2 linked regions of the Drosophila melanogaster genome follow. The protein of the gene in region 2 purifies or fractionates together with the protein of the main gene of each other region. This does not show direct contact. Each region holds a gene or a part of one and is shown on either strand. Other genes may lie near its edges.

What was found.
Region 1: the proteins of Tet (region 2) and CG5746 purify together in Drosophila melanogaster (affinity purification with mass spectrometry, with the first as the bait; one large-scale study listed by BioGRID). This does not show direct contact.

Annotation. Positions count from the first base shown.
Region 1 is NT_033777.3:24,345,258-24,350,650, forward strand, and holds CG5746 (uncharacterized protein), read right to left. Parts: upstream 3,535-5,393; 5' UTR 3,405-3,534; exon of another isoform or gene 3,307-3,404; 5' UTR 3,218-3,306; coding exon 2,890-3,217; intron 2,824-2,889; coding exon 2,148-2,823; intron 2,043-2,147; coding exon 1,824-2,042; intron 1,730-1,823; coding exon 1,560-1,729; intron 1,504-1,559; coding exon 1,454-1,503; 3' UTR 535-1,453; downstream 1-534. Other genes in the region: CG6454 (uncharacterized protein), read left to right, coding at 4,051-4,214, 4,269-4,570, 4,633-4,978.
Region 2 is NT_037436.4:2,876,156-2,880,968, forward strand, and holds the start of Tet (Ten-Eleven translocation (TET) family protein), read right to left. Parts: upstream 3,004-4,813; 5' UTR 2,378-3,003; intron 1-2,377. UniProt on the Drosophila melanogaster protein: Dioxygenase that specifically demethylates DNA methylated on the 6th position of adenine (N(6)-methyladenosine) DNA.

The DNA of each region.
Region 1 (5,393 bases), on a different chromosome or scaffold from region 2:
TCATTTTGTACTTTCAGTGCTTTCAGTTTGTAATTTTAGATATTTATCTAATTGAATTGTTATGGTACGTGTAAGCTCAATCATGGTAAAAATTCTCGATAATATATTTTCGCGACACTATCTTAAAAATTTGATTGACTGATGTCCTTGAATTTTCATAACGCATTCGGTATATTGCATTTTCGTTTAGTTTTTATCCTGAGTTTTGTTGATCAGGTATACTTGGCACTTTGATAATCGCTTGGCGATTAATTGTTCTATGTATTTGTTGTAATCGTTTCGTAAATACTTAAAACTCTGTTATTTCATTCATTTGTCTCTCATTTTTCTTGACTTGTATGCTTGCAGTGCAGCTTCGGTTCGTGAATATATTCAGTCTTACGTTTTTTTTTCACATTTTTCACTCATTATTCGTCTTTTGATTGATTGTTTTGCTTAATAATTTGCAGTTTTACTGATTGATTTCTTTTAAACAAAATATTTTAAATAATAATATGTACGCTTAAATAAGTTTAATGCATTAAACACATTTTTGAACATTATTTTATTGACTTTGATTATGGTTATGGTTTTTGCATCTTTTTCTAATATACTTTGTGTATTTCGTTACTTGTTTTTTTTTTCAGCTTAAATTTAAGGAGTTACATTATTACGAACTTTTTTTTTTGCTTAAATTGTCACTATAAGAGGTTTTTGTAAAACAAAAAAGTAATAAGTCACGCTTTTGTCACGTTTTTGTCATTCATAAAGAAAAAAACACAATCTTGCAAAATCATAAACGCTTTCAGATGCATGTGGGATAGAAAATAATTGTGTCGAGAGTGGATTGCGGTTTTCAGCTTAAAAACTAAAATATACATTGCATTCATTTGTATACAATTTTACATGATTCACAAAATGTTTAAATTTAGTTCATTCAAAAGATCATGTTACGTACTCTCATTTTTCCGTCATATAAAAAATATGATTGTAGCATACTTTGGTCACAGTTGACTTGTAATTGTAAATGGAACTAAGGAGGAGCACATTTAATTTTCTTAGGCTGGAGCTCAGTGCAGTCTAGCTCCGTTTGTCTATTTAGAGAACATTAAACAACAGGCAAGGCGGATTATTTCAATATATCTGTTCAGTACTCATGGGGAGACGAAACGGAAACAAAGGGGGATGTTAATTTGGGGTGGGGGTTTATGTAGAAAGACGTCGAAACACTAGTTTGCTTAAATGCTAAGAAAAAGAGAACTTTATACTTAAAACTAAAATTGTATGCTTTGAGTGACCGCGTATGTGTGTGTTTGCGTGTTATGTATAGCAAGTTAATTGTTGCATTAAACATATATTCCCTTCCATGTTACTCTGCCCTAGTCCCTTCTTATTTGGTTTTTTGGCCTATCGAAGCACGCGCAGCGTTCTGTTCTCTAGTGTGCCGTCAGGGGTGGGAGTGGGAAGTGGTTGTTTAGTAGTAGGCGGCTGCATTTGAATAGTTCTGCGAGTACGCCTGCGAATCTGAAAGAAGACACCGATGACGGATGATGCAACTGGAGGGAACTGAAATAACCTACCATAACCCGCGTAGGCACGCTCATCGTAGCCAGTGCTTTGCGCTCCGTGCTGGCTGTAGTCCGCTTGTCCGGTAGCATTGTAGTCCACTGCAGTCGAGCCATACTGTTGGCTGTAGTCCTGGCTGTACGACTGATACCGTGTATCCTGCGGTGCGGCATAGCCCGTCGAGCTGTTTGGAAGCACAAAGCAATACATTAGCACTTGCGTGGCCCAATTGAAGGCAAGAAACGTAGAGAGAGAGACGTCAAGATTAGGTAACCCACTTGTAGTTCTGATACTGGCTCTGATCGTATTCGGTGCTGTGGTGGGCTCCGTAGCTGCTGCTCGCCGGAGCACTTGTCTGCGATGTGTGAGCCGCATAGCTGCTGCTACCGCTCTGGCCATAGCCATTGTATCCCTGCTGGGTGGTCTGGGTGCTGTAACCGCTCTGCGCGTAGGGGTCCACTTGTTGGGTCTGCTCGTGTGTCTGATAGCTGTGATGGCTGATAAAGAACAGCGTCAAAAAATGTACCAATTATTTTTGCAGATTTAGAAAGTGTGCACTATATTGATTTGATTATATAATATTTGAAAATTCGATGCCTTACCTTTGTTGTGGCGCATGGTGACTTGGCGGCGAGCCATAAGAGGACTGCGAAGACATGCCGCCGCCTCCTCCACCACCCATATGCTGCTGTGTTGAATGGTACTTGGGCGTCATGGGCCGTTGGCCATATGGACCGCCCTCGTAGCGACCGCGTTTGGGACCAGGACCACCGGGAGCGCCGCGTTTGAGAGCTGGTACCGGTGCAAGTTGTGTATTGGGATTATGTGCCTGATGGTGATGCAAGGGTGGCCGACTCATACCTTGATTGTAGCCGCCCCTGCCCCGAGGACCTCCGCGCCTGGGCATCGAACCGTGCTCGCTGCCCGGACCGCCGCCCATGGAATTGCCGTGGTGGCTGTGGGAGCCACCGTACATGCTGCCGCCTCCACTGCCGTTCATGTGCGAATTGTAGCCGCCGCCACCACGTCCACGTCCACTGAAGGGACCACCACGTCCACGTCCACGGCCCAGATATGGAGGAGGTCCTCCTCCGTTGCTGCCCCCAGGAGCGGAACTGCCGCCATGCGAGTTGCCCGAAGACGGGACGACCGCTGATGTCTGGCCATCGGTGACCTCATCACCGGCTGCTTCAACCGCTGGCTGTTCTCCACTGATCGCCGAGGTGGGCACTGGTGATACGGTCTTGTTGTTCTCGGCACCTGTGTGTTGTTTGGGAGCTAAATTGGATTGGATTGGATTTACAAGGTATGGCAGGAAGTCGAGGGTTGTCTGCGGAAACTTACGCTGCGAGTACAAAGGTGGGCGACCGCCCCGCATGCCCATGGGAGCGCCACCACGCGGCTGATAACCGCCGCCGCGTCCCTGATAGCCCATTCCACCACGGGATCCACGCATTCCCCTCGGAGGACCCGACATCATGCCCTGCATGGGCGGTCCTCCGCCCATTCCGCTGCCGCCGCCTCCGCGCATGCCACCCATAAAGTGTCCACGACCGCCACGACCACGTCCGCGATCGAAGCCACCGCGCATAGGCGCTCCACCGCCCCGTCCACGGAAACCGCCTCCACGTGGACCGCCCATCGATGGCGAGGACACTGAGCCTCCTTCCATGCTCCTCTCTCGCTGTTCTCGTACACTAGATCACACGCACTACCACTTGCACTGGTATTCTTCGCACTCGGACGCGGATTTTAAGACTGCTGAAGCCGGAGGAAGAAGAAGAAGCAGCGTTAGGATGCCGCAGATTGACGATTCGAGGAACTATTGCTAGCGACTAATCGTTTCTATTGATGCTTACTGGTCACTTGGTCACTCGGCGCACTTTCAACAGTAGCTTATCTTAAATAACTTATTTAACTTAACATTATTCGGTGTGCGAAGCGCGTTGGTCTTCATTCAGTGAAAAAATATGGCGGCGACTATTGATTTTTGTTGCAGCGCTGCCCACTCGTCGCTCTTTTGCGCCAGTGTTGTCATCCTTCAGCGACAATATAGCTATGAAAACTTGTTATTATAATTTTCCAAGAGTTAATATACAAAACAGGTTAATACGTAATGAATTAATTTATAGTTCAAACAAATAGAGTCTAGTCCATAAACATGCATTAAAGATATATTCAAACTCCGGAGGGAATGAGTTTAAGCAAATTTTAGTTGGAATGGTGATCGCTAGTAGTTAGTTTAGAATTGATGGAAACACTTAAGATGATTATTGCTTAATGATTTAAGAAACTGCTCCACTCTCATTCAAAAAAGCAAATTAAAACATTGAGCAGTCCCAGCACAAGTAACTAATCTGTAGGTAATTTGCAATTCACGGACCACGGCCACACTTGGCACTGGGAAAAATGGAAAACACAAGATAAAACGTGAACCCTTTGGTCGAAATTCGGTGGTCACAATCTGGTATCTGGTGAAAAGGGACGACAGGCGAGTGCGACAGGATGCCGGGCAAGGTGGGGGTGAAGATTAAGGCGGCGCGCAACCTGCCCGTGATGGACAAAAGCAGCGAAACCACGGACGCCTTCGTGGAGATCAAACTGGCCTCGGTGACCCACAAGACGGATGTCTTCCGCAAGAGTTTGAATCCCACCTGGAATACCGATTGGTGAGGTCTGACCATTCAATAGCTCCATATATTGTAACATTTGCTTTCTGATAGGTTCCGTTTTGAGGTGGACGACGCTGAGCTCCAGGATGAGCCCCTGCAAATCCGCCTGATGGACTACGACACGTACTCTGCGAACGATGCGATTGGAAAGGTCAACATCAGTTTGAATCCTCTGTGCCTGGAGAGCTCTAGTCAAGCGGTGCACGGCAAGGGTACCGTGTTATCCGGCTGGATTCCTGTTTTCGACACTATGCACGGTATTCGCGGCGAGATCAATGTGATTGTGAAGGTTGACCTGTTCTCGGACGTCAACAAGTTCCGTCAGAGCTCCTGCGGCATCCCCTTCTTTCACTGTATAAGCAGACAAATATTCTCTAAAGAAATGGTCTATTAATTATCCTTTTATCTCCAACAGCTCAGTGTGTGCCATTTGGCTACCGCGCCCAAGTGATTCATGGCTTTGTCGAGGAATTGGTGGTGAATGACGATCCGGAGTATCAGTGGATCGACAAAATACGCACACCGCGTGCTTCCAACGAGGCTCGCCAGGTGGTGTTTCTCAAGTTGTCGGGTCAGGTGCAGAGGAGAATGGGCCTAAAGGCTATTAATATGGGTGCTAATGCAGTCATCGGCTATACCCAGTGCTTCGATTTGGAGGGCGACGTGGGTGTGGTAGCCCGAGGCATTGGAACGGCTGTGACGCTGATCAAGGACACCAGCACAAGCCAACCAAATAGTGCGGATGTGGCACTGATCGAAGAGTGAGTATTTGGTGGCACTAGTCGCTGTCTGATTACTCATAACTTATTAATTCTTTTGCTATTTACTATACTCTTGCAAAGCAATTGTCATATTTTAGCTGTCCGATTACATGATTACATAAGTCTATTAACAATATCTATATCCATGTCTGTGCTAGTACAATTTTTTCTTATCAGGCTGCAAAAGTATTTGAAACTTCGGTTCCCGAAGCCAACCTACCCTTGATTGTACAAACAATTTGTTTAGCATCCGTAGCTGAAAGTAGGTGCTAGTAGAAAACGAACTTAAATATTTTCTAAAGCGAATTTTTTCTTCTTTTGAACGTTCTTCCCCACACCGAAATCTCTGCGACGATGTTCATCCCTCAATATCTTAACTTTCGCTCCTTGTCGTATCGTATTGCACGTTCCAATC
Region 2 (4,813 bases):
TATTAACATTTTTCCCCAGCACTGCGCTATTGCGAAACTATTTTTCGGGCCATAATAAGTTTGCATATTTATGCATGTTATACAATTGCCAAATGTGCAGCGCAGCAAGTTAATGAATAAAATTCCATTCCACTTTCGGTGGGGTGCATCATTTCGGCCGGGTAGCATTTCAAGAAGCCCCACAAACTGGCAAATGGGTGGGGAAATTATTTCATTTTATGTTAATGATACGAACTAGACGGCTGAAATTGCATTCCTTGCGAAGGTGGTGGATGTACTTAATCGAGTTTATATTGTGCGGAAGGTAGCTTGAAAGTCAAGACAAATACTATGGAACGCAGGCAATTTAGTGAAAGCTGTTTATCAAGCCATCAAATGCAATAAAATTGTTTTTAGTTAAGCGACTATTCTCTGTCGGTTCTCTGTTTGAATTTCTTAAAGGCAAGTTATTACAATATTATAAATGATGGCGAATATTAATACGAAAACTTAATTTCAAGCTCTCATATAACATTTTTTCGTTCTAGCTTAGAACTTGAATGCTTAAAAATATATATAGTATCTGAAAGATATTTTCTTTAAATTCCTGACGCGAGTTAATTCGCCTGGCAGTGCCTGCTCCACATCTCGTTCCTCGTTGTGTCACGTGCAAATTGAGTTGTGCCGAAGCTTGGCGGTATTGGTGTTTGGGTGTTTGGGTGTGGGGATGGGTTGTGCGCGGAGTGGTGCGGCGGTGCAGGTGTGGATGAAATGAAACGTGCTGTGGGGCCCAATGAAGCCATGCAAGGAGTCCATGGACAGGCATACGCGGCTGAGTATTAAGCGTATATGAATGGGAGTAGGGGCACTTATGCCTCGCATTTTCACCCACATCCCAAAAAAAAAAACGCACCACCCACTTCCCGTGAGTGTGTTGAGATTTACGAGTTTGTCATTTGCCTTGCCTGCTTTCAAAGTCACGCACGTTACTGTTAACGAGTGTGTGGAGGGGGGGAGGACGGGGGCAGGGGTTATATCCTGGGTGTTGTTTATTTTTCTCTAGGTCAAAGCCTTAATTTGCCTGCGTGTCCTTTTGCCAACTTTTATTTTGGGCTGATGTGTTTTATGAATGAATCGTGGGCGGCGGAAAATTGTAAACAAAATATGGCAGCTATATATAGATTCATTGGGGGTAAGACGGTAATAAACTTGCAGGCGGCCGACAAATTGCATCCAACAGATACAGATACTGGCACGGAGATACATTCGCTGAACTTGAACTTCTTTCGCGGCCTGCGCCTCAATTTGTTTGGTTTTATTATTTATCTTTCTTTAAATTCTCTTTATTGCCATGTATCTGTATCTGTAGCTGTATCTTGTAGGAGCACAAGTATCTCCTTCTGTGTTCTTAGCTTTTCGCTTTCTGTTGTGCTTCTCGTTCCCATGTACTCTCCTTGTTTTATTTTCTGTTTTCGGCGCTTCTGTTCTGAGCGCGCCAAAAAGTATCTTGAAGATGTACGCACGTTACTGTTAGTTACGAGTATCTGTATCTTTGTATCTCTGTGTGTCGCTTTCTGGCACGTTTTCAGGGCCTCGGCTCAACTCTTCACAACCAGAAGAAGTTCAGAGCCCGCTGCTTTTTAATTTAAGTTGGCGCTAAGACAAACGCAAAATGTATCTATCAGAAACAGTTCTTCTTTTAAAAGTCATTACTCATTGCCATAAGTGTTTGCGGTCCAAAAAGAGAAGCCTCTGCCTTTACTGTAATATTATTATTTTATTTTGTTTATTTGTCTTGCACAAATAAAGCTCGCTGAAATTGCCTGCTTAGGTGATTGTGATTTTGTTTTTTGGGTCTTCTTTGAGCTTGCACTTATTGTAATTTGATCCTCGGATGACCAATAACAATTGTTATCTCTTTGTTTACATGTTTACGCTTGGAAAGTATTTCCTGTGCCCCAAATGCAAATTTCAATTGGAAATTTGTTTTTCTTTGGCTTTCGGTCGAGAGGTGAGTTTAATTGAGGGATTAGGAACAAAAGCGTAGAGTTTTATATTTGATTGGAGCTCAACATTTTTATACATTTGCTCAATTGGCTTTATTAATTGGAGTCGGTTTTATGAAAGGGATATGGCCATTCTGTTTGGTTTCTTGGAAACGTTCCTTACGATTCGTTTTCAAAGAGTTAGTTATGTTCTGTATGCGGCTATTTGTCTTTTTGTTTGATGGCTATGCTTAATTAATGAAAAAAAAAAACCATTTATTTAATTTTCTTTGGTACCACAAATAAAATGATTATATACGCAGAATAGTTATATATAGATAAAAGGTATACATAAAGCATCCCGATTTATATATACTTAAATATATGTATATTGTTAAATCCCTACTACAAACCTTAGTTGTTAATCCATGTCCTTTCACGAGTTTTTTTCCTCGGAAAATGTTGAGTACTTAGAAGCTATTGGAAATCCAAGCCAGTTTCACTATCCATTTGCCGACCGTCGTTGGACCGTTAGAAAAGCCGCGAAAAACCGCACGAAAACGAAAGTTGACAATAACAAACCGCGACGCGAAAACGGAACGAAGGGAACAAAAGAAGGAAATCGCGGAAATTGCAGGGAAACCCAGAGAACCGAGCGCGAAACTGGAGCTGCAAATTAAACCGGGACTTGGATGAAAAGCTGAAGAACTTGGAGCTGCAAGTGCGGCATCTGCGGGAGTTCTTGATTTTGTTTTGCTCTTGGATATTCTAATTCACTGGTCACATTGGTCACATTATTTGGGGCTGCCTGTTTTCGAAACTGGAACAAGTTAGTCGCGAGTCCTTGAACTCGATCACACCCACACCGAAGGGATAGTATATTCCCGAAAATCAGAATCAGAATCAGTTAGTTAGCTAGTAAGTCTCACACGCACTCGCACTCGTTTCTAGCGCTCGAACGGCGGCGGCGGTGCAAAAGTCCGTGTTTTGTAGGAAACTTTTCACCCGAAGGATACACAACAACTGAACTAACTGAACTGAAAATGAAAATGAAAATGAAGGAGCAAACATAAAATGTATCGAACAAGTTCGTGCTCGAAGCGAACAGGTTCATGTTCGCATCGAACCAATGCGGGCTCCACTCGAACTTAAGAATACAACAAGCATGACGACCGAATTCTCTTAACTAGCGGTTTTATATTGTATAATTCATTCAATACTTAAGCATTTTTAAGAAATGATTTTTAATTTATTTTTGTGCTTATTAGTCATTCGTAAAATATATTATTTTTCAGTTTGACCATCATTAAAAGATGAAGAGCAAGATTCTTTCGTTTTGAAATTTGTATTTATTTTTATGTTCCCTAAAAAGTTTTGTAAATTCTTAAATATTTAACTTCGAACTGCTGCTTGTTGCTGTTGCGCCTGCAACTTTTGGCTCGAGAGTCCTGGCACACACACACAAACACACAGCCGCACGCACACAGTTACATTTACGGCTGCATCCTCTCTCTTTCATTAACACACAAGCACACACACACACACACACAGCTGCAACAAGACACGGATACGAACATGCGGCGTTTGAAGTGCGCTTTTGTTGTTGTTGCTGCTGCTGCGCCGCTGTACAGTTGTTGTTCCAATTAAAAATTTTTTTCCCTAGTTTCGCGCTCACAATGCGAACTTGCAATCTATGTGCGCTACGAGATATTTTCTGCTGCCTTTGTTTTGATACCCTAACCAAGGAGCTTACTTAGCTTACTTAGCAATTAAGCACATTGAATTCAAGCATGCATTATATGGTAATTGGCGTATAGTTTATTGATTTATTTACAATTTTATCAGAATAGATAAGCTCGCAAAATGTGTTTCGAAATTCAGGGCATTCGCAGTTCGACCAGCCGAATAAGTTTTACTTTCCCGCTGCTGTTGCTGCGGTGCCGTGGACGTTGCTGCGGTGCTGTTGCTGCCACTGCTGCGCTGGACGCAGGACACGGAGGCAGGACCTTGTGGGCATGTGCCATATATCCTGGCATTGCACTGGCTGCCGTTGCGGGATTTTGGTACAATTTGCCTGCCATGTTTTGCCCCTTTTTTACTTTTGCGCAAAGAGCGGGGGCGGTTGATTTCATTTCACTTTTTTCTCGTGGCGGTCCTGTTGCAACCTCGTTTCATGCCAACTATTAGTGGAGCTGCCATTTTTTCGCCATTTCATAGAGAGCAATCCACGGCGGAAAATGGAAACCTTGACAGTTGCATTGTTGCCTGGCGCTGACAGAGAAAATAACAAAACAAAGCGAGTACGCGGAACGCTGCTGTCTATTTGCATTGCGTAATGGAAAATCATTCAACCTAGGGGCACAACCCTTAACCGACTTCGAATCCTCCGGAACCGAATCTCAATCTGAATCCGAATCCTCCGAACACTGACCTGTCCCATACGCAACGCATACCCATAAAATCCCTCGAGGAACCTCGAAGAAACATCTGCACAAACAACAAAATGCAGCCGGCCTTTTCTCCTCTTAGATAGTTCTTAAGTTCACGATCCGCAGACAAGTTCTTCATAGTTGGGTTTTCTGCACTCGAAGCTGCTGCAAGTCTCTCTTCGTTCTTCTGCATTCCGCTCTTTGCGTTTTTTTCTACTTTTTTCGCTCTTATTTGGCTTTTGCGTGTCCTTTGTGAGGACAGCAAAGGACATTCACACTGCAAGCAGCCACAATAAAAAGACGTGCGGCAAAGGAAACCAGAAATGTATCTGACAGTTGGTGCTGCAGAAGTATTTGAAAAATGAATGAAATGTGCGCACAGAACATGAATAGAAAAATAAAATATTAAAAAAAAAAAAA